Drosophila melanogaster: one gene and its partners. The gene in region 1 interacts genetically with each later gene. Each region holds a gene or a part of one and is shown in the gene's direction. Other genes may lie near its edges.

Region 1 (7,351 bases):
TTACTTCCCCTTTTTATTTCAGCAAAGACGCGACGAGCTAAAATGTTCGAAGGCAACTAAAAGCAGCAAACGGAAATTCTTAGCCGCCGACCGGCAAACAATCGCATCAGAAAAAAAAAACAACAAAAGCAGAGAAGACAACTTTCGAGATGTTCCCAAATTCAGAAACTCACTGTGCTATTTCAAAGATGGTTGGTATTGTTTGTATTTCTACACCATCAAACATTTCATTTCGCATATTTGTGAAATTACGTTAATATAATATTATCACACAGCACAAGATTTTGAAACCACTTATAAAAACAACATTTAGATGTTATAAAATACCATGCAATATCAGATATAAAGCTTTAAAGACCTTTATATTTTGGAAAACAAAGTGATGGTTTTTCGAAAACAGGAACGTCGATTTTTATCACATGAAGAGTTTAAGTCGTTAATTCGTGTTTGAGGGACACATGTCAAGAACCGCGAGCAAGCGAGATGGAGCTAATGGAGCACTTATCTGGGAGCCCGACGAGTCCGGTTCAAGAGACCTATATTTTTGTATTTTCTTTATTTTGTTTTTGGTGATAAGATAGTTGCGGGAACAGGATAGTTGTATAATCGGTATATTGATAAGACGACCGACAATATATTGGCCGAATCATTTAATCAATTAATTGCTGACAAAAACGAACCAAAGTTCGAAGGTCAGCAGACGGCATTGCAGAAATGTCCGTGACATTGACCTCGGCACCTGGAAAATGAAATACCACCCAAAAAAAAAGAACATCATATCTATGTCACCATTTGACCCAGTTAATCGAAAATCGTGGAATTAACGAAAAGGAATCAAAGAAATATTATTTCGTTGGGCCGTGTGTGGGAAAGAGAGGTGGCGCAAACAAGGCGAGAGAGAGACGGGGCGAACACGCGTTCAACAAACTTGATTAACGGTTTATCGATTTGCCATCGCACTCGCACAAGCACGTGCTTTGTTTGTCGCTCCTATTGATTTTTACGGCATTGCTTGGATATGAAATAACCGCACATTTCTACTTCTTCCTTTTGTGCACTCCTTCCAATTTCATAACGTTGTTTATTTGCATGTGTGTATCGCATGTACAAATGTCCATTGTTGTGTGTGGTTGAGTCCACGTGTGTTGTTTTTGTTAATGACTGTGATTTTCATATGTAAAACTCTTTGTTATTATTATTCGATGGAAGGAGGAGGAAAACGAAACAGATGAACATGGCGTAAAGTTGATGAAACACCGAGAGGAAATAGAATTCATAGTCGTTGCGTTTTGCACACTCGCAAGATAACCAACTAACGACATTTACTAACAATAAACAAAAACATAACTTTACACGAGAACACAAAAAACACAAAAAAAAAACAGGAAAACAAAAGGCACACACAGTCACACACTCACATCTCTTCCAGACAACTTTTGTCGCGGTAACAGCGCGAACTGAAAGTTTGCTCCTGGCTTCATTGACTCGCAATTTCGAACTGAGTCTGATGAACAAGAACAACAGTGCGCCGTGTGGAAAGCGGCATTTTCCACCCCCTAAAAAGCGGGCCAGCAACAACAGCAACGACAGTAACAAGAACAATTTGAAGGTAACAGAAACTTTTGGGGATGACACGGAACAGATGATGCCGCTATCGGTGTCATCGATAGACGGCGATAACAGGAGTTTTTTAACCGCTCAGCAATATATTTCAAGTATATCATACACTTGTGTATTTCATTTAGAAAGTATTCAACAAGATCAGATATATTTATTTTGTTGATAAAATCACGAACCAACTCCATTGATTCATTTCCGCACATCACTATTGCCCAATTTCGTTTGTCGGCATCCTTCCAGGCACTGGAAGTTCGTTCTTATACTTTTCGTTCGCATTCTAGTTCGCGGGTTCTCTGAAAGGCTAGATCGCGCCATTCGCTTCAATTCTTCGTGTAACGGTGCTAGGTGCGGATGCCAGTGTTATTTTTAATTGTTAATTTAATTGTTAACTATTTATAAAAATAGAATTTGTACAACAGAAGACGAACAGCAGAACACCGGTAATATCTCGATTCGATTTTAACTGTATTAGTTGAAACATTTATAGTAACGGTAATTTGTCAAGTGACGAAATTAACTAATTAAGCGCAGCATGAGAGGCTTTTAAATCATTAAATTTTAAACAAATATTTAATTTTCATCAGCTTCATCACATTTAATTTTGCTCTTTTGCTTCATTTGCCTTTCTACTGCGCCATCTTGAATTCGCAGGTGCATATTGTCATCTCGCTCTGAAGCCCGGCTTGTATGGAGTCGGTTAATAATTGGAATATATTTGTATTGCAGCAAATTTGCTTTAAAACTATTAAAGTTAAAAAAACTATACAATAGTTAACATAAAATAAGTAATAAAGCTTAGTATGCGCACTTCTTAGTGAAACGACAATAGATAGCAGTTGAAAAGTGATTGTGAAGGTCAAATAGATCGAGGTCAGGGCCCTCTTCTAACTGTTAATTGTGCAATACTTGTATTTCAAAGGGAAAACATGACAAAAAAAAAATGAAATGAATAAAATTTAAGTTTCTCGATTCCAGAGTCGCCATGGACATGCAAGTGCAGCGCCCCATTACGTCAGGCAGCCGGCAGGCCCCGGATCCGTATGATCAGTATCTGGAGAGCCGTGGACTCTACCGTAAGCACACGGCCCGGGACGCCTCCAGTTTGTTCCGTGTGATCGCCGAGCAGATGTACGACACCCAGATGCTGCACTACGAGATTCGGCTAGAGTGCGTCCGCTTCATGACCCTAAAACGACGCATCTTTGAGAAGGTAGGCCTCTAACAATCACACATTTTGTAAAAAAAAAAGAAATAATTTTATTTATATCCCAGGAAATTCCTGGCGATTTCGATAGCTACATGCAGGACATGTCCAAGCCCAAGACATATGGAACCATGACAGAACTACGCGCTATGTCCTGCCTATATCGGTAATTAATCCTTAGTTACTATTTTCTATTAAATTCTACAAATATATATGATTTCTGTACGACTTCCAGCCGCAATGTTATCCTGTATGAGCCCTACAACATGGGCACCAGCGTCGTTTTTAATCGTCGCTATGCGGAAAACTTCCGTGTCTTCTTCAACAATGAGAATCACTTTGATTCGGTTTATGACGTTGAATATATAGAAAGAGCCGCCATTTGTCAATGTACGTAGCCTATTAATATATCCAATTTTGCTTTTTGTATATGTACGTTGCTTTCAGCAATCGCCTTTAAGTTGCTGTACCAGAAGCTTTTCAAATTGCCTGACGTATCCTTTGCTGTGGAGATTATGTTGCATCCACACACCTTCAATTGGGATCGCTTCAATGTGGAGTTCGATGACAAGGGCTATATGGTTCGCATTCATTGCACCGATGGACGAGTTTTTAAGCTTGATCTGCCAGGGGACACAAACTGCATACTGGAAAACTATAAGCTGTGCAATTTCCATAGCACCAATGGAAATCAGAGCATTAATGCTCGAAAGGGAGGCCGGCTGGAGATTAAAAACCAGGAGGAGCGAAAGGCATCCGGCAGCAGTGGCCACGAACCAAACGATCTGTTGCCCATGTGTCCAAACCGATTGGAGTCCTGTGTCCGCCAGCTGCTAGATGATGGTCAGTAGAGGTGGTTTCAAACATCAAATGCTTACATAATACTCTCTTTTTAGGTATCTCTCCGTTTCCCTACAAAGTGGCCAAGTCCATGGACCCCTATATGTATCGTAATATAGAATTTGATTGCTGGAACGATATGCGCAAGGAGGCCAAGCTTTATAATGTCTACATAAATGACTATAACTTTAAGGTAAACTGTGCAGAACATTGGATTATCGTTAGCACACATACACACGCACACCAACACACGTTTCATGTCAACCACCCATCCAAATTAACACCCTTTCATTTTCATCTATACACTGGATACACCTTATACTTTACTATACATGTATGTCTTGCCTTATCCTTCCTCGTCTCGTCGCCGTGTTATTTGTTTTCCAGGTGGGCGCCAAGTGCAAGGTGGAATTGCCGAACGAAACGGAGATGTACACGTGCCACGTTCAAAATATCTCCAAAGATAAGAATTACTGCCACGTCTTTGTTGAGAGGATTGGCAAAGAGATAGTGGTACCTCTTCTTTTTATCTGATTTTCTAGACCCTTGCAGAGAAATGCAAAAATTTCGATTAGAAACGATTATCATATTTAACAATTAGTTAAATTTGTTAAAGTTTAGTTAAAAGTATATTAATTGTGGCCCAATGAACTGGTATATAAGTCTATAAAATAATTGATCTGCAAGGGCTAAAAATGTTCGGTATCCGAAGCTAATTGTAACTATTTCGCTTTAATAGAGAGCTTACTAATATACAAACATATCTGTTGGCTTAGGTCCCGTATGAATCGCTCCATCCCCTGCCGCCAGATGAGTACCGCCCATGGTCGTTGCCATTCCGCTATCATCGCCAGATGCCTCGCTTGCCGTTGCCCAAGTATGCCGGTAAGGCCAACAAGTCTTCCAAATGGAAGAAGAACAAGCTGTTCGAAATGGACCAGTATTTTGAGCACAGCAAGTGTGATTTGATGCCCTACATGCCCGTGGACAATTGCTATCAGGGTGTGCACATTCAGGACGATGAGCAGCGGGATCATAATGATCCTGAACAAAATGACCAGAACCCGACTACGGAGCAGCGGGATCGTGAAGAACCGCAGGCACAGAAGCAACACCAGCGCACGAAGGCATCAAGGGTTCAGCCGCAGAACTCGAGTTCCAGCCAAAACCAGGAGGTTTCGGGTTCGGCTGCCCCGCCACCCACTCAGTATATGAATTACGTGCCAATGATACCGAGTCGTCCTGGGCATTTACCGCCACCTTGGCCTGCATCTCCGATGGCTATTGCCGAGGAGTTTCCGTTCCCCATTTCAGGAACCCCGCATCCACCGCCAACCGAAGGTTGTGTATACATGCCATTCGGTGGTTATGGTCCACCACCACCGGGAGCTGTTGCTTTATCGGGACCGCATCCATTTATGCCGCTTCCTTCTCCACCGCTAAATGTTACCGGAATTGGCGAGCCACGTCGTTCTCTACACCCAAACGGTGAAGATTTGCCCGTGGATATGGTGACTTTGAGATACTTCTACAACATGGGCGTGGATTTGCATTGGCGCATGTCGCACCACACGCCGCCTGATGAACTAGGAATGTTTGGATACCATCAGCAGAACAACACTGATCAACAGGCAGGACGGACTGTAGTCATTGGCGCCACAGAGGACAATTTGACTGCCGTGGAGTCAACACCACCACCTTCGCCAGAGGTGGCAAATGCCACAGAGCAGTCACCGCTTGAGAAAAGTGCCTACGCCAAGCGCAATTTGAATTCGGTTAAGGTGCGCGGCAAACGTCCGGAGCAGCTGCAAGATATTAAGGATTCGCTGGGGCCAGCGGCATTTTTGCCCACTCCAACGCCATCGCCAAGCTCGAATGGCAGTCAGTTTAGTTTCTATACTACTCCATCGCCGCATCATCACCTGATAACACCGCCGAGGTTGCTCCAACCGCCGCCACCGCCACCGATATTCTACCACAAGGCGGGACCACCACAGCTAGGGGGAGCAGCTCAAGGACAGGTAGGAGTGATACATGCACTAACAAATTCAAAATATTCTATAGGCAATCGACACTCGACCATTTTTAGACTCCCTACGCCTGGGGCATGCCAGCTCCGGTGGTGTCCCCCTATGAGGTGATCAACAACTATAACATGGACCCGTCGGCTCAGCCACAACAACAGCAGCCAGCCACCTTGCAACCAGCTCCCTTATCTGTCCAATCTCAGCCGGCAGCTGTCTATGCTGCAACGCGTCATCACTAAACAAAGAAAGAAAAAAAAAAGGGAGCGGGGGCAAAAAACAGATCACTTGAAAGAGAGAGGCCATACAGATCGAAGGCATTACATTCCATTGCAATTAACGGCTTTTAAAATTTAATCTCACTTTTAAATTTGTAGTTAACTTTTTATAGGCCATAAGCGTTGGCGCTCTATCATAAACCATTCAGCTTCTGTACAACAATCGATTGCATAACCTAACGCAAATGTCAACCCAACTTCATTTTAAAAATGTAATTTAACGTAATTTTATGCGAATTTTTTTAAAGTTAGCCGTCACGAAATCAAAGAACCACCTATTTATATGATTTATTTAAAACCCTTCTAACCAAAAATATCTACATACTATCTACTATATATATACATATATATATATATATATATTTATGTGCTCGCTGTTCGGCTAGAGACTCACCTATGTAAAGTGTACCATCAAAAATTAACCATAAATAAAACAAGATTCAACTGCAGCGCAAGAGACAAAATGTACAAAAGACTTTTGCAGGTGCTGCAATTACGTGGTATTCTCGTGTTTCGGCGCGATTTCAGATAGCAAACAAAAGGTGTGGATTGGCTTGGATTACTTTGATTCACCTCGTCACATCACATCGACGCTGATCTTCGAAACGATAAAGAACTCTGATGTAATCCTTTAGTTTCATTGTAAAAGTTTGTTATTATTGTATGTACTGTCTTTATTTGTGTCATAATTTGTTTGTCTATGTTAGTTTTAGAAAACGCTGTTATTTTTGATAAGCAGATAGTTTTTTAATGCATGGGTTTATATTGTAGCATATTACATCAAATTAGTGCATACTAACTAAGAAAAAAAAAACAACAAAAAGTATTTACAACTAAGAAAATTAGATATTAGAAAATTTATAAGGTTCATTAGTTCAATCAATCACGATTACTTTAGTATGTAGTACATTGAAAATGTTTTGAGCTGTCAACATTATCCTGCTAAAACTAACCCATGTTAAAACCATCCAGAATGCTGAAGATAAGTTGAGTTAAGGAGTGCAACGCCTCCATACTGGTTTCCGTTGTCCGTTTAGATAAGGGCTAGTTGGAATAAATTATGAAAATAAGTATCTTAAACAAAAATTACAAAATATGCTAAAGTACTAAAGAACTTGGAAGCTAATAATACGATGGTATCACAGAAATCTTTGTACATAAGTTTAATATTTCAATTCACCAACGTACCTGTATGGTTTGTTTAATTTGAATCGGCCAATAAGCAATATATGTCTCTGTAACAATTTCGGTTATAAGGACTTTCTGTGATACCCTGGACAAAATTTGTTATAGGTATTATTTGTTGTTATTCTATGGTTAACATATCAGTCATTGTTAAAACAATACTAACTTGTCCAGAACAGTAGGCGATTATTGCGAAACAC
Region 2 (5,312 bases), on another chromosome or scaffold:
CAATTCGCAGTACAACAAGACGCGCGGCAACTTGAAGCTGAACGGCGATTCGCGGGTGATCTGCCAGGGATTCACCGGCAAACAGGGCACGTTCCACAGCCAACAGGCTCTGGAGTACGGCACCAAGTTGGTCGGCGGCATTTCCCCCAAGAAGGGAGGCACCCAGCATCTGGGACTGCCCGTCTTCGCTTCGGTGGCGGAGGCCAAGAAGGCCACCGATCCACATGCCACCGTCATCTATGTGCCACCACCGGGCGCTGCGGCCGCCATCATCGAGGCTCTGGAAGCGGAGATCCCCCTGATCGTTTGCATTACGGAGGGTGTGCCGCAGCACGACATGGTGAAGGTGAAGCACGCCCTCATCAGCCAGAGCAAGTCGCGATTGGTGGGTCCCAACTGCCCGGGAATCATCGCCCCCGAACAGGTTCGTACATCTCCAGCGCTTGAGAGATAAGCTTGGCCAGAGGGCAAAGTCCACGTTCATCTGGTGGTTTTCTTATCTCTTGGTATGACGCTCGCTTTGAACTACATATATCTGTTTACTATTCCGTTTTCAATTTGCTTATTGTTAATGTATAAACAGGCCTCCATTGACACACCCTTAAATTTGGGCATTGAACTTTGCACCTGAAGTTGGTGGAATTTGCGGACGATACGTTTTTTATTACCATTTATAACGCTTATCTTTCTATGCGTCACAAAACTTAGTGATTACCCACTTCACTCCACTTTCAGTTAAGTCAATTGTATAATCTTAAACTATGTTTTTTCTGATTGCAGTGCAAGATCGGCATCATGCCGGGTCACATTCACAAGCGCGGCAAGATCGGCGTGGTCTCGCGCTCGGGAACCTTGACCTACGAGGCCGTGCACCAGACCACGGAGGTGGGTCTGGGCCAGACCCTGTGCGTGGGCATTGGAGGCGATCCGTTCAACGGAACCGACTTCATCGACTGCCTGGAGGTCTTCCTCAAGGATCCCGAGACCAAGGGCATCATCCTGATCGGCGAGATCGGAGGCGTTGCCGAGGAGAAGGCTGCCGACTACCTGACCGAGTACAATTCGGTATGAGAAGCCATCACGGATCAATGTATTTCATTGCTAAATGTTTTTGTATCCTATTGCAGGGCATCAAGGCCAAGCCTGTCGTCTCGTTCATTGCCGGAGTGTCGGCGCCACCCGGCCGTCGCATGGGTCACGCTGGAGCCATCATTTCCGGAGGAAAGGGAGGTGCCAACGACAAGATCGCCGCCCTGGAGAAGGCCGGCGTCATTGTGACCAGGAGTCCTGCCAAAATGGGCCACGAGCTCTTCAAGGAGATGAAGCGTCTGGAGTTAGTGTAAATAATTAAAGGCCATAACCAAACCGGAATCCGTACGCCGATCAAAGCGTATACGCAAACTCATGATGATGAACCTAACGTTAAGCTAAAAGTGTCGAAAATCGAAATTGCATTCGAGCGAACCCAAATAAATTATTGTGAAAAATTACTAGAGAGAAACGAGAGGCGTTGAATTGTGACATGTATTCCAAGAATTAAGTTAACTACTGCCGTACCACCAAGTTGAACTAAAATAACTCGCACCAAAACCAAGATTTCTAATTGTTATTGCACTCGGCTCATTGTTTGTGTTGCGAACAGATTTTTGCCTTAATTTTAAATGCCTGCTCGAATTATCAATGCGAATTGTATCTGAATGTGTAATAAATATGCATAAAAACAGGATAGATGTGGTGAATTTTCGTGGTTTTAGCTATACAAGCCATATCCTTTGAAAATATGAATTTTCAGGTCAATTTATTTAATCTAAACTAAAATTCTTTGGAGAAGAATTAACAAAACAATAATTTATGAAAAGCAATGCTTACCATATTAAAAAAAGATTTAAGGAAATTTAAAAAAATGTAGTTTTCTACTTTCGATATTTAATGGGATCGACTTGCAAACATCAAGAGCACACATCGATAGAGCGGAAGTTTCGATTAACTCGTGAAATATCTGGCAACATTAATATCGAACTGCCATCGCTTTTTGTGCCAGCTCTAATAAACATATATATGTTTTAGGGCCGCGATTGAAAATGCGTGCCACAAAGGCCTAAACAAACTTGGAAAACACCGCGAAAAACGTCAGAAGCTATAGTGCCGATTCGCATATTGTTCGCCACCCCGGAAAAGTGTGAAAATCGCAGATAATCAAAAGGGAGAGCAACCAAAGGAAAAGCAACAACAACGACTCGCCATGGGCAGCAGAACTGAAAATGGTGAGTTTCTAAGAAAATGTCCCTAAATTTCGTTAGCACTGTCCCTTTTCTCGCAAAGCGTGTTGGAAATGATGTGAACATAATAATATTAGTGCGCTTATTATTACTATTGCAACATTTTCGGTTTTTGCAGCCGCCGGTTGCGGTTGCATTTTAAAGTGCACTACATACGCACACACACACATGTGCACATACAAATTTATCACCTCGCATGTATGTATGTATGTGACGGAGTAGTGCATGCCTTTTAGTAGGGCTGCCGGGAAGGCCCCGTTATCTGATTCCGGGTATGTCTAATTGGAGTTGTTAGTTGGAATTTTCGTTCGCCGAGGAACTTTATTGAAAAAAAGTTGTAGCATGGCTAATACCAGGAGTTCATGGCCTTGACGCTCGCAATACATAGTGCTGCATTGAAAATAATAAATTATGGGATTGTTGGTAGCAGATTGGTAGCTTAATTGCTCACATAATTCTTCGATTTAATATTATGCCAATGCTTCCGTACTTTTAATATAATATATATTCAATATCCTACTTTAAAAAAATATTATTATGAAACGAGAAATATAGCTAGAAGTATTATTCTTTATTATTCTTTAGTTTTAAGTTTTTAAAATGTTGATCCGAAATATCAGGTTGAGTTAAAAGTAATGTAAATGTAAAATATATTTTACAAACAGCACGTCATTATTACTTCGGATATGAAAAACCACTTAAGGATGCGTCCTATCTATATATTATGTAGATTTTTGTGTATAAGCTTTAGGATAAATAGTTTTGAAAACTGTTGCTGCTGCTGCAGATCGATTACAAAACGCCGAAAAATGTGCGTTCCAGTTCGCTAGGAACCCTCAACTTCTGGTGACATATCGCATTCTTGCAAACATTTTTGTAAGTTTTCTTCCTCTTCGCGTTTGCTCGATTTATAGAGAATGCTTTTGTTTGTGTTTAAAATAGATTCGAAATGGCTCTTTGGCCTGCGTCCGCCATTGTCGGCGTTTTCGAGTGGGTTTTATTGAAAATCTATTTTGCGAATTATCCGACCAGCCCGGCTATATCCCCCCTCCCTCCACTTCCCTGGGCCTTTCTCACATTTGTCTCCAATTCTCTTACATCGCTGGCGTCGCAATAATGTCGTCAGTTTTTTGTTTATTCGCTCTCCCAAACACCGAAACACGCAAAAAATAGTTCTTATTTTTGTTAAATCCACACAAATTTTCTTGAGTGAAAGTGAAGATTTTATCTTATTAGTGATTGTAGCTTCTATCAAAAAGTGTGAGTTTAGGAAAGTTTGGGTTTTGAATATCTGGACTCATTGGTCTTTCAATGCAAGTGTCCACTGTACTTTATAATACAATTTATACTAAAAACGTCGCTGTTTTGTTTTCGTCTGTTTATTGTTTTATTTGGATACTCGCATCTAATGATTCCACCGATGATGACCGATTTTCGGTCGATGATGCCGTGATGAGGATGATGTATCTTTGCTGATGCTCTAAACGAAATGTCGTCGTTGTCACACAATGTTGTAGTTGTTTCCTTAGTGGCTGCTGCTACTTAGTTAGTCGATTGTGATGCGCTCGGATTCGCTTCGGCCTTCCGTTTCGCACTCATTACACAAACAAAAAAAGATTGAACACAAGTCTTACTGCAAAAACTCGCGAAACCGAAGCATTTTTCATGCGAGAATGTCGAGAATTTGTGTAAATTAATTTATTGCCTTCGCTCATGCCACTTTCTATATCGGATGGCATTTTATTTGCATTTTTTGAAACACATTCTGGCAGGCGTACATCTTTTGATTTCGCATTTCGATATTTCAGCAGGCAAACTCCTGTTAGTAGAATTTTTATTGAGTTAAAAAAAATGTAACTTGTAATTTAAAGCAAAATTTTTATAGTCCACATAATTGAATATTGAAAAACATTGGTTGTTTTCTACCTTTCCAAAGAGCTCATCTGATGCCTTGAATAAATCAGGAAAAATAAATATACTCGTGCCCACAAGCGTTTTATGTTTTGAAGGTAAAATTAAAAAAATTATTTTTTTTATATATATACACTGGGAATAATTAATATTTGGCTGATTACTTGTCAACGAAGATGCGCTGTACTTTATTTAGTCTGCTGCTTATGAATAATCGCCTGTGATAAGAGCAGACACATCACATCGGTTACGCCAGTTTTGTTTTTGATTTTGATTTGGCTCAAAGAGCCCCATCAGTTCCACACACCTGCCCCACCGCTGTCCTCTGTAGATTCCGCAGACAAAGTTGCGATGCCAAGCAAATTCTATTCCCGTAGAAGCGAAGGAGGTGACTGGGTGGTGGCTTTAGGTCCGTGCAGATGCTTTTTGCATATTTCATAATTCCCGCAGATGGCCTGAGCGCGGGGAAAGCCGAAGACAACAATCAAATGGCCCCAAATGTCGGCTCCCAGGTGCCCCTTTTCGTATGCAACGGGCATGTCTCATATGCCAAATGAATGAATGATTGAGGAGACTGAAAGTCTAGCTCTCTTCTCCTACTCCTATTAATATTTTCCCTTAAGCTATGAGCACCATTTAGCCGTTTACAGGACATCTGCTAGTCAGGATTCTCTGTTCGCCAGCTGTGCTTAGCTCGGCTTTTTCTGCGCTCTGCCGCAGAACTCAATGGCTGCTTAACGTGGCCTTAAAAGTTTTGGCCGTCTGTCACGAAAAAACCAAAGCAGAAACGATAGCTGACAAAAGTTTAAAGATTTTAAGATATTTAGCTGCTTGATAGTAGACATTTAGATGTGTAAAATTGTTTACGTTACCAGTATAATTACTATTGGAACTAAATGGAAATGTTAGTCGTCATATCGCCGAATAAAATCTGTCATAATCAGGGTTTTAGCAAGAGCCTTTTTGGTTGGGGGCGCGCTTGAATGAAGACTTCTTTGGCTGGCCTCTTCCATCTGTCTGTCTGGGTCAAGTGAGTGGAGGCGATGGTAGCCTTGCCCGCCTTCCACCAGCTTTCTTGGCCAGGCGTTTGTTGTTAACACCTTTCATGGCCGTCAGGACACG
Region 3 (5,374 bases), 1.4 Mb from region 1:
AGGCGAAGCCCGGCTGTGCCTACCAGCCAACGGAGGTGAGTTCTATACATTGTATGTGTACAGTACACCTGACGCCTAAACCACATTTACTCTATCCAAAAAAAAACAGATCGAGCAGGTGGCCAATGTGATTACTCACGGCATTTGGATACTGCCCGCCGTTTTTGCGGCCATCAAGCTGTTTGAACGCTCCTCCAGCGCCAGCCAGTATCTGGTTGCTTGGGTCTACGGCGGAGCCCTGTGCATGCTCTTCACGGTGTCCACCTTCTTCCACTGCTCCTGCTATTGCGCCGAGCACAAGTGAGTGCGCACACAGGCTGATTTAACCATTTGATTTGTACATTTTTGTATACCTCCACTAGACCACCGAAGAATGTCAAGGCCTGGCCCTGTCTCGGCTGGCAGACGTATCAGGGGCTCAAGAACGTGCTCCATCGCTGCGACAGGGCGATGATCTATGTGTTCATCGCCGGATCGTACTTCCCCTGGCTCACGCTAGAGAACACCGATCATTCGGCCATACTCTTCTGCATGGAATGGGTCATCTGGCTGATGGCGGGCATAGGAATTGCCTACCAGCAGGTGGGTTCATTTACAGCACCCGTGTTCACATGCTCCTTAAGGTGAAATTTCCTTTTGTTTGGCGAAAACAGGTCTTCCACGAGCGCTACAAGTGTCTGGAGACGTTCTTCTATCTGGTGATGGGCCTGGGACCCGCTCTAGTCGTTGTGTTCACTGGCCACCACTTCCACGGTATGATGCAGCTCAAGTTCGGCGGCGGCTTCTACATTCTGGGCATTGTATTCTTCAAGGCGGACGGCACGATACCCATGGCCCATGCCATTTGGCATCTGTTTGTGGTGCTGGCCGCCGGATGTCACTATTACGCCATCCTGGTGAATCTATATCCAAGCGAGGGAGCCGCAGCACCGTGAACAAACGAGCGCCACAAAGCAGTTGTGGTAACATGCAGCGAATTTAGAACTTAGAGTACTTAACGACAGGGATTCGATGTTGTCAGCCATGTGTAACGTATTCCTATGATATACCCGATGTACCCGAGTCTCTGCTCCACAATTAGCCAAATTTTAAGCGAGCGAGGACGCCTAGCTTGTAGTCTAGTTGTAGCATTACGAACTAACTAAATCGAAACGATTCTTGTGATCAGTATGTGCGGTCTTGCCAAAGATTCAAATTGTGCGAGTGCTCATCTCTCCCTCTCCCTCTCAACTTTAACTTGATATTATTAGCGATATTCATATATTTAGTATCCATAACGACCCGTTTTGGCCATGTGTTTCTCAAAAGACTTTGAACCGTACTCAAAAGGCAAAGGACACGAATATTAAACTTGTACAAATATCCGAGAGTTAACGACCTGAACCTTTTGAACACTAGAAGCCCGCCTATCCCGCATTGCATTATGCATGTTTATACAGATTATACAGATATATTATATACCCATATATACCCATATACACAAGTAGATAGAATTAAGAGGCCATCCGATCCGCGAGTCCAGCCCCTTCGGCCAGTTTCATCGCCGAGCTCAGGGACAAATCGATGTGTTCGCAGATACTGAAGAAGGTGACTATTTACAAATACGCTTGATATCTTGATATTTTCGGGGCCTGGCTCGCGATCGGCGGATATAGCTTTCGTGTACTACTCGTATTTATGGTGCAGATCGATTAGTTTTAATGGCTCTAATAAATTGTATATTTCCAAATGAAAGCAAAGGGCTCAGATGTTTGTTGCGTGCTCAAATATAATTGTTCGTTTTACAATGTTATGCATGTATCTTGTTTAGCTTATTCATACATCTTGTTTAGCTTTAAATATATGAATATACATATATTCTTTTTTTGGTTGCAAATATATATATATTATTTTATTGAAAATTTTTTTTTGTTTGTGTAGAATTCTAAATATTTAAATGAACGAAATCTAACGGGGCTCAAAAGACATAAAATTGTATCTAATTTTAATTCGTTATTTTCTTTTCTTTAAATGAAAATTTCAAGCTTGATTTGAATTCCCATATTTGAATTTTATGTGACCGTTACGAATCAAGCGAAGGTGTGAAACTTGGCTAAATGGGTTCGTGTATTCGCTAAATGGAGTGAGTCTTAACTAACGCGGTGTAGAAAATGAACAGTGTGACCAGCCGAGTGCCTAGAAAAATAACGAAAACGCGTTTAGCCACCGTAAAGCCACCCAAATAGCTTAAATTGACCGACAACCGCGAAACGTGCACACTGCTTTGTTGTTGCCGAAGAAGGAAAGTCGCGCAGTGAATTTTTTTCTGGTAATTTTTCTTTGCTCCTCCTGACACTCGCCACGTAAATCAAACACACGATCCAAGTGAATAAGTTAAAACGTTTTAAAAATCATGACAAAGAAGCTGTTTTGTGTGCCCCATGCAATCCGTGTAGCTACAGAATAAGTGTGTGAGAAGAAATAAATCCCCATCGAAAAAACAATACACACACAGACACTGCAGCATGTACATATATATGCATATAGATATATATATATACATACATGCACAGGGTTTCTAGCGTGACGTGAAGTGTATATAACGAAGCGAAATTAAAAGAACACGCAAAAAGAGAAAAGTGGAGAGGAAACGATAGTGGAAAACACGCAGACATTGTGAAAATGCGCATAGATCATATCGCAATTGTAGTAGTACAATTACAAAAAAACCAAGCATTTTTGGAGTTTTTCTTTTCTTTTTTCAAGTTATACATGTTATTTTTTTTGCTGTTGGCCTCAAATACATACATATGTACATCTGAATAGAGCGAGTAAAGAGCAGTATACAGATACTCGCTGTTTTTTGTTTCTTATTTTTTGCTGTATACGGTTTTTTGTGAAGTTATTGAGCTGAAAGAAGAGTGCAAAAGCGATTGACGAGCCGAAAACATGTTGTAAAATTCCATTCAGCATTTCCCACCACTACCAACAACAGCAAAGCAAAAGCAAAGCCGTTTTTGCTCGCTCTCCCACTCCTTCTCTCTCTCTCTCCCGTCCACTCGTTGTTACTTCATGTACTAATTTTTTTTTCTGTGCTTGCGGCTTCGTCATTCGCATGTATATACATATGTGTGTGTTGCGCCTACGTGAGAGAGCGTGCGAGTGTGTATATGCCCGCAAACGCATAAACACACGCGCACACACTTGCAAGGCGATTCACGCGCCTGGCTTACACTTTGTTTTTTCTTTTTTTTTTCGTTTCCGTTACAGTTGTGTAGTACATAGCAACATGCAAGCATCGCCCAAAAATCATATGCACATACACATAAACAGTAAGTTGTACATAAAAACAGCAGCGTGTGTGTGAGTGCTTAATTCTTTTTTTCCATTTTAGTCTCTAACTAAATAATAATAACTAAGCCGCTGGGTAAGTGGTTTTGTTCGTATACAAACAGCTTTTTGGGGCAAAGAAACAACAAGAGAAACCCAAGGGCAGTAAGAACATATAACGAAAGGTAGGCGAAAAAGACAACAACACACATGCATACAGTCGCGTCCAGTTGTGAAGGGCCGAAAATTCTGGAATAGATTTCGCTTTACCTGAGTGTTTATCGCGTGTCCCTTTTTCACTTCCTTTAGTTCCGCTGCAAATCGACTACCTACATTTACGCATATCCTGTATACATATTACTTCCTGTTTCACCAACTATGCCACCATGTGTTTCTTGCTGCGCATAAATTGGAGTATTTTGTGATTGCTTTTAATAAGTAGATATGTACCTATTTTTTGGTGGTCGACTGTGGCGACCGCCCTACGTCGACGGCATTGCCAGCTGTTATCATCGAAGGCAACGTGTTTTGGCGTACACTTCACTTACACATGTGTCCCTGGTTAAGATATGACATATTTTGGAGTTTCCCAGAGCTTCTGCAATTAAAATAATTGTAATTTCTTCGTTGAGTGTTTATATAGCTTTAGTTGGCGAAACATTATTTTAAAGATCCTCATTAGCGACACGCGCCTTTCGGTTTATGGCCCTCCCTTTTCCATTGAAGATCAGGGATCCTGGATATTTCCAGGCAGGTAGTGAGCGCAAGGGAAGATGTTCGCTTCGCCCTCCGTTGTTGTCTCTATCGTACGCTCAGCTGCCGTATTTTTTGTTTTTCAAGTTGCAGCTGGCTGGTGGGAGAGGAGTGGAGTGGTGAGGAGAGGGCAGCTGCATTTATTTCCTTTTCTCTTCATCTCCGCTTCTCGGTGGGTCATTCCCCTTCTTGCTGTTGGCAATGACGTCGCATCGCAACGATCGTTCCCTTCGCTTAAAGCGTATTGGAAATATTGGAAATGGCGGTAGCTAGTACTACCCCCACCTCCACCAACACTCTTAATTCACATTTCTGCATTCCATTGAGGTCATTCCCTTGCGCAAATTGCACGTTACACAATTCCCATGAGCGTTGCACCCCGTTTTAAACCTTATTTGGTCTTCAGTTAATAAAAGCTTCCCAACAGTGGTCTCTAGATAATGCAACTACTTAGCGTCGTTATTTAAGAGTATATTTTGTAGCGTTGAATGTTCTTATTTCGATGTTTTTATGGCAGATAATACTGAGTTAAATGAAGTTGAATACGTCCTTGAAAGTATATATGTTTCGGTTCCGCAATGTCAAGTGTTCACTGTACTTTTTAAGCTCGCTCAATGTTTTAAAAAGCATACATGCATACATATGTACATACATGCGCATTTGGATACACTTGAAATAACAACAGTATAATAACAATCCAAGCGGACGATCAGCTGGAATGTTCGATGGATCGTTGATTGTGTCTGGCAATGCCGCTGTGATTTTGTTTCCAGACCGAGATCCATTCATGCATGCGGGTACATGACTCATTTTCCCAGCTGAGCGATTGTTAGATGCACAGATGTGTACATGCATCTTCTATATGTATATATGTATACATTAGCTCATGTACTTAAATGGGCTTTTATCAGCTGTTTAGAACACACATTCACTCAAGCACTGCATAATAGTGCTGCTCTATTTACACAACTGTGCTCCAAATTAGCAGACTACTGTTATCAAACTGTAAAGTTTTTCTCGCATTTTGTTATTGCTTTACAATTCGCTGGCGCTTTCTCCATCTCTTTCCCTCGTACACTGCCGAAAAATGTCTGCTAAATGGTGTCAATGAAATCAATGAAAGCCTGCATTGTTTTTTTTTTATTATTGTTATGTAATATTTTTTTCTGTTGTGTATCATTGCAATATTATTTGCTGCTTTGAATTATTAAACAGCTAAAAAAGTCATATATATTAACATTTTATCGTAATATTTAGAAATAATTTTGAACTATTTGTTTTCAATTTTTTAATATGATACATTGGATATATT
Region 4 (5,331 bases), 880 kb from region 1:
ATTTACCAACAATTTTCCACCCAAATCCTAACCGCTTTTCAACCGATTTTCCTCTCAGACTGCAGCAACGCATCTGCGACTGCGACTTGGGTTCTCAGTCTCAGTTTAGGTGTAAGCCATAACCCCTTGGAAAATCCCAACCACATCGCCCCTCCCCGCCCAGCAGAAATCATGGGGTTTAGTAGAAAAATAGGGAGTGAGAATACCAAGGGGGTCGGGGGCGTCTGCATTGCACTTGGCGCTTCGATACAATTTGAACTTTTCTTTATGCGAAAATCCCGCAACGGGACTGCAAATTCCAGGGGTTTGCGGAAAAACACAAAATAACGGGAGGCTGAGAAGGGGCTTACTCTCCAATTTAATATTCCATGGATTTTTGAAGAGCCGAACAGAGACAGCCAGCCAAGGGACTTAAGTTAGGAATGCAATTTAAGGTGCATCATAAAGTGGCGGAAATTTGGAAAGGACAGATTGTTTCTAAATGTTACATTTACCTCTAAAAAAAAACATAAAAATTAAATTAAACAACAAAACATAGAATTGTTTGTTGCATTTAGCTTAATTTACACTTCGTATTTACTTTTTTATTTCCATCACTTTCTACTATTGTTTACTATGTTCGAACATTTGATGAATATAGCAGCTGCTTTTAATTCTAAGACTTATCTCGTGGAACTTTTAGTTCTTTAGTTCTTAACTTTAAAACTTATCAGTTTCAGAATAATACTTGAATTCCAGGTAAATCCCCCTAAAGCCAAAAAATATTACAACTTTCCGAAATATCCTCAATCTCAATCCCTCCGCCAGCGTCACAGTCGACGTTGCACTCAATCCTGCGCTCAATAAGCAACAACAACAAGCAGTAGTGGAGAGAGGCGAGCGCCTGGCTCTTTCGTTTCCAATAAGAAAAGCGATGTGCGAGCGGGAGGGCACTAGCCAAAGTGTCTGTGAATGAATGAATTTCAATACATGCAACTGACATGCGACGGCGCAGAAAAATGCTCAAAAATAAGAGTAAAAAAAAAAGCCGAGAAGGAAAGCGCAAAAAAAGTGAGAAAATCAAAAAGCTATTGAAAGAAATCAAAAGCAGTGCACGGGAATTGAGTGAGATTCTCTTGCGCGGAGCGTGAGAGAGCGAGCGAGAGAGTTGCGCTGCATGAGTGTGTTGTGTGTTTGTGGCGCCTCTGTCGCTGCCAACGCCGCTGTCGGCGCTCTCTGCGGCAGAGGGTTGTCGGCGCTTCGTTAACGTTCGATTTGTTCAGTCATCAACAGCATTCGTGACTGGCAACGTCGTTTCGTTCGTCCGTCGCCGAAAGAAATCGAGAATTTCAGAAGATTTTTGGATTCTACTGCCCCACAAGGCAGTGCAGCTTCTTCTTCTTAGCCGCGGCGCGGGTGTGTGTGCGTGTGTGCCCCTCTCTCTCACTGTGTGTGTACGTCGTGTGTGTGTGTGTGCAGAAGAATCCCCCCACCCACTTCATACAAAAAATTCATAAAAAAATAATTGCAAAAGAATGAATCTCGCTTGCCAAGAAGAAGAAACGTATTGATCATATTTATAAACAAAACAGCACACAGCCAAACAAATCAAAAAGGACTAAACGAACGTATAATATAACTGTTTATTATTTTTTTCAAGTGCATTTTTGTTCGCTAAAATATGTGCGCGTGTATGAGTGTCAAGTGTAAACAACAACAGCAACATCAAAAGCAACAACAGCGACAGCAAACATGTGCAAAATAAGCCACAGCCAAAAAGCAACAACATAATGATAATGGCTTGAAAAAATCACACACACAACAACAACAGGCAACAACCAAAACAACAACATCATACCCTCACCATTCAACAAACGACTACAACAAAATCCCCCACACAACAACAAGAAGAAACCCCCTTCCAAAAAAATCAAAAAAAATTCTTTTTCGGAACTAAAGTGAACAAAATATAAAACATAACATAACCATAATAATAATAATAATAACACACAGAAATTGGCTTATTTATGCATTTTTTTGAGCACGTAACAAGAAACATACTACTTAAGGTGTAAATGTGATGACTAAAAACGAAAACCGAATTAAATAACAACTAACTAACAAGTAAAATCGAAACGACAACAGAACAGAATAATGCCAGGCCTTATTAGCCCCAAATTGGTAGAATCCAAAAACTGAAAACCCCAAAAAAACCTAAGCAAAAACTGACTGAGAATTATTGAATTAACCCAAGAAAGCCCACGAATGCAGCCAACATTGCCACAAGCCGCTGGGACAGCCGATATGGATCTGACGGCTGTTCAATCAATCAACGATTGGTTTTTCAAAAAGGAGCAAATTTATTTATTGGCACAGTTTTGGCAACAGGTAAGAAAAGTTAGCAAAACGATGGAAAACGGTGCTTAAAAGCAAGAAGTTTCGTGTTTCAAGAATAATAATATGAATATAGTTCAATGAATTGGCCAAACAAGCTGAGATTACGGGTTCGTAAAATGTTCGGTGCAAAAGTGTTTTATCTTCTGTTCTCACTTTTATTCGCATTGACAAACAGTCTTACGTTTATATTACATGCAAGGTGTATCTTATTTTTGTCAACAAAAAGATGAAATTACACCTGTTATATGTAGCATAAAATTTGATACTTGCGTTTTCTAACTTTATATGAATGAAATGAATTCGATTCATACAGTATTGTGTATTCAAAGTGAAAAGTTTAGGGAGCGTAACGCGAAAAGCCCGAAAGCCTTTAAAACGTTATAAGCTAAAATTAGAACTTTCCATACATTGATTAGACTAAAAAGTCATATACAAATTTGCAATTATCATTGTAACTAAACAGTGAATAGTTCCCGAGTTCTGTGATATTCGTTGCATTTCACTGGAAACTCCCACAGCTGACAACAATAACCCTAGTGCGCCCAGCCGCCCACTTTAACCCCACACAGCCCCCATATTTTGGCCCCGCAAACTGCTTAACTTAACTTAAGTTAACTAATTGAGTTTGCGTGTCTATGGCAAATGTGTTTTTATTGTTGCTGGCCCGTTATTGTTGTCTAATTTCTTGTTGTAAATTTATTTATTTTTTCTGCTATTATTGATTTCTGAAAAAAAATTTGTTTGCACAAAACAAAAACAACAAATGCAAAGTGCAACAAGCAAGTAATAAGTGAACAGTTTATTGCTTGAATAACTTTTTTTTTTTTTGAAGCGTTTTTTTTTCTGTTTTCTACTACCAGTGAACCGAAAAAGATAAAGCCAGACAAGATCGGCCAGACGGAAGAGACAATTCAGATGGGGGTTTCGCTGTAAAAGGGGGCGTGGAAAATCGGGAGGCGGGGGCCAGACGATGCTGAGAATTTCGCTGGCCAAATGCCAGACTCCGAACAAATAAGGCGGCAAAATAACATTAGAGGCCAAAAAGGGGAAAAGAAAATCATCTGCCAGACCAGACATGGAAATATCAACTGCTGTATATATTTTTGAATATTTCTATATATAAAAATACTCTCTATATGGTTTGGCAAGTTAATTAGGTTGCGTCGACAGCCGGGCAAATTTTTTAATTGGAGTTTCTTCTTCGATTGATCGTGAAAAGCGAGAGACGCGCACAGTGAAAGACAGACATGGAAAAATTCCCGGAAAATCTAGACATTTGCCGTCGGTGAATGGCGTTTTTTCCCGCTCCACAAATATTTTTGTACAAGATATGGCGATGCAAACTGCAATCAATAAAACTTAAATAAGCAAAACCAAAAGCTATCCTATCGACTTTTTCCGGAGAACCACAACAAAGGCAAAAAGATGAGAAGCCGCAGAACTCGTTAGGATTACTTGAAGTCAGTGGTGTACACAGGATTTTATGAATGGGGCTTTGCTGATCTCAAATAGAACCGGTTTTTATTTAATTAAATGCATTTGCTTGTTATATTTAAATGTTAGATATGTACATAGTGATAGAGCATAGTGTTGGCGGCCTAAACGAAAACACAAAACCCCATCTAAAGGCGCCACTGTTTTGGGTTCTTTTTTCCTCTTTCCTAACGATCATTTAATGGCTTTCAAAAGCTTCAAGTCTTCTATAACTTTCAAGATCCCTCAACCAATGATCGATTGTGATCAATGAATCAATATTTGAAAGGTTTCGTCATGCCTTCGCATGCTGATCAACAAAACAAAATTAGAACTCGATCCATAAATACCATTTCTCTGCGGCAGAAAAAAAGGTTATTCAACATAACTAAATTTGCCAACCAAAAATAGAAGCTTATTAAATAAATTAAACAAACCGCAGACAGACGTCTACAGCTGTCCAAATGAGTTGATAAAACAATTTTTATAGTATTTCACTTATTTATTTATTTACATTTCAAGAACAGAGCGCGCGCGAAAAAATTGACACAAATCGAATTCGAAAAAGCAACAATAAAAATGTGCTTGATTAACACAAAGTTTTGTCATTAAATATATAGAACGGTGGCACCGAAAAAACGATCACAAAAAATTGAAAAAAAAAACAAGTGCAAGAACAAAAAGCAGAAGCCAAAGAAGAACCAAAAGTTAAAAAGAGCAAAATTAATTTCCGTAATGCAATCTATAAACTTGACCCATTAACATCGAACAGATTTTTTGTTTAGCTTCTACAATTACCGAAATCCGAAAAACCATAAACCGAAAACTAGATGAAAGATGAGGTTTTTGTCATTGATTTGTGCTGATTCAAACTAGAAAAAAAAAAGATGGAAATGGAAAGACAACAAAACCGAACTAATTGCCAAATGCATTTGCTGACTTAAAAAATATTAAAAAAAAAAAAATAGAAAAGTTGAATTGAAAAGATGAGAGTAAATCGAGTTTGGGTTCCGTTTTAATCGAATTGAAACCGGTTTATAGGGTAGTCACCACCACCATAGCACCATCACAGATGCAGATACGGATATAAAATACGAAATGCGGAATACCGGGGACGAGCATTGATAGTTTATAAAGTTTAATTTTCAAAGATGGCGTCCCGGCATTTGCATATGCCGAAAATGAGCAGCCAAGGGTTGTCCCTTAAGCCCTTGGAAGCACACGGATACCTTGTACACATATACGATATCATACCATGCTATACCAAACCATAGATACCATATTGCCAGATACAGTATACAGATAGAGATCAGATCGGTGGACTGAGCGGCGGCGTGTGTCGTATAATTTTTAGCGTTTTAAGTGCAATTTACTCGCTCTCTGGCAGAGAAGCCAGCTAATGAGTCACAGAAACCGAAACGTGGATGAATGGGGGGGGGGGGGTGTTTGAAAAAGGGGTTATACCAAGAATCACAGACCGAA

Evidence for each region.
Region 2: of otu (region 1) and enc, changing one suppresses a phenotype caused by changing the other (phenotypic suppression), as found in Drosophila melanogaster (one study listed by BioGRID).
Region 3: of otu (region 1) and Sxl, changing one suppresses a phenotype caused by changing the other (phenotypic suppression), as found in Drosophila melanogaster (one study listed by BioGRID).
Region 4: of otu (region 1) and ct, changing one enhances a phenotype caused by changing the other (phenotypic enhancement), as found in Drosophila melanogaster (one study listed by BioGRID).

What each region holds. Positions count from the first base shown.
Region 1 is NC_004354.4:8,484,083-8,491,433, reverse strand, and holds otu (ovarian tumor), read left to right. Parts: upstream 1-1,898; 5' UTR 1,899-2,060; exon of another isoform or gene 2,061-2,086; intron 2,087-2,311; exon of another isoform or gene 2,312-2,490; intron 2,491-2,581; 5' UTR 2,582-2,602; coding exon 2,603-2,830; intron 2,831-2,892; coding exon 2,893-2,990; intron 2,991-3,059; coding exon 3,060-3,214; intron 3,215-3,271; coding exon 3,272-3,667; intron 3,668-3,720; coding exon 3,721-3,857; intron 3,858-4,051; coding exon 4,052-4,177; intron 4,178-4,440; coding exon 4,441-5,685; intron 5,686-5,753; coding exon 5,754-5,930; 3' UTR 5,931-6,426; downstream 6,427-7,351. UniProt on the Drosophila melanogaster protein: Catalytic component of a deubiquitinase complex consisting of bam and otu. The complex deubiquitinates K63-linked polyubiquitinated proteins; this antagonizes the ubiquitination activity of Traf6 and regulates the IMD immune signaling pathway.
Region 2 is NT_037436.4:3,816,657-3,821,968, forward strand, and holds the start of enc (encore), read left to right. Parts: upstream 1-2,022; 5' UTR 2,023-2,261; coding exon of another isoform or gene 2,262-2,264; intron 2,265-5,312. Other genes in the region: Scsalpha1 (Succinyl-coenzyme A synthetase alpha subunit 1), read left to right, coding at 1-424, 781-1,065, 1,128-1,343. UniProt on the Drosophila melanogaster protein: Required for the regulation of germline mitosis, karyosome formation, and establishment of dorsoventral (DS) polarity of the egg and embryo. Involved in proper grk mRNA localization and translation in the oocyte.
Region 3 is NC_004354.4:7,094,935-7,100,308, reverse strand, and holds the start of Sxl (Sex lethal), read left to right. Parts: upstream 1-2,255; 5' UTR 2,256-2,308; exon of another isoform or gene 2,309-2,364; intron 2,365-2,540; exon of another isoform or gene 2,541-2,685; intron 2,686-3,242; exon of another isoform or gene 3,243-3,311; intron 3,312-3,373; exon of another isoform or gene 3,374-3,494; intron 3,495-5,374. Other genes in the region: CG4615 (uncharacterized protein), read left to right, coding at 1-35, 110-300, 363-582, 654-935. UniProt on the Drosophila melanogaster protein: Sex determination switch protein, which controls sexual development and dosage compensation in females. Sxl protein is only active in females: it is inactive in males throughout development.
Region 4 is NC_004354.4:7,607,172-7,612,502, forward strand, and holds the start of ct (cut), read left to right. Parts: upstream 1-1,976; 5' UTR 1,977-2,244; coding exon 2,245-2,367; intron 2,368-5,331. UniProt on the Drosophila melanogaster protein: Regulator of cell fate decisions in multiple lineages. Specifically, functions as a determination factor that specifies sensory organ identity in precursor cells. Probably also involved in cell type specification of Malpighian tubules.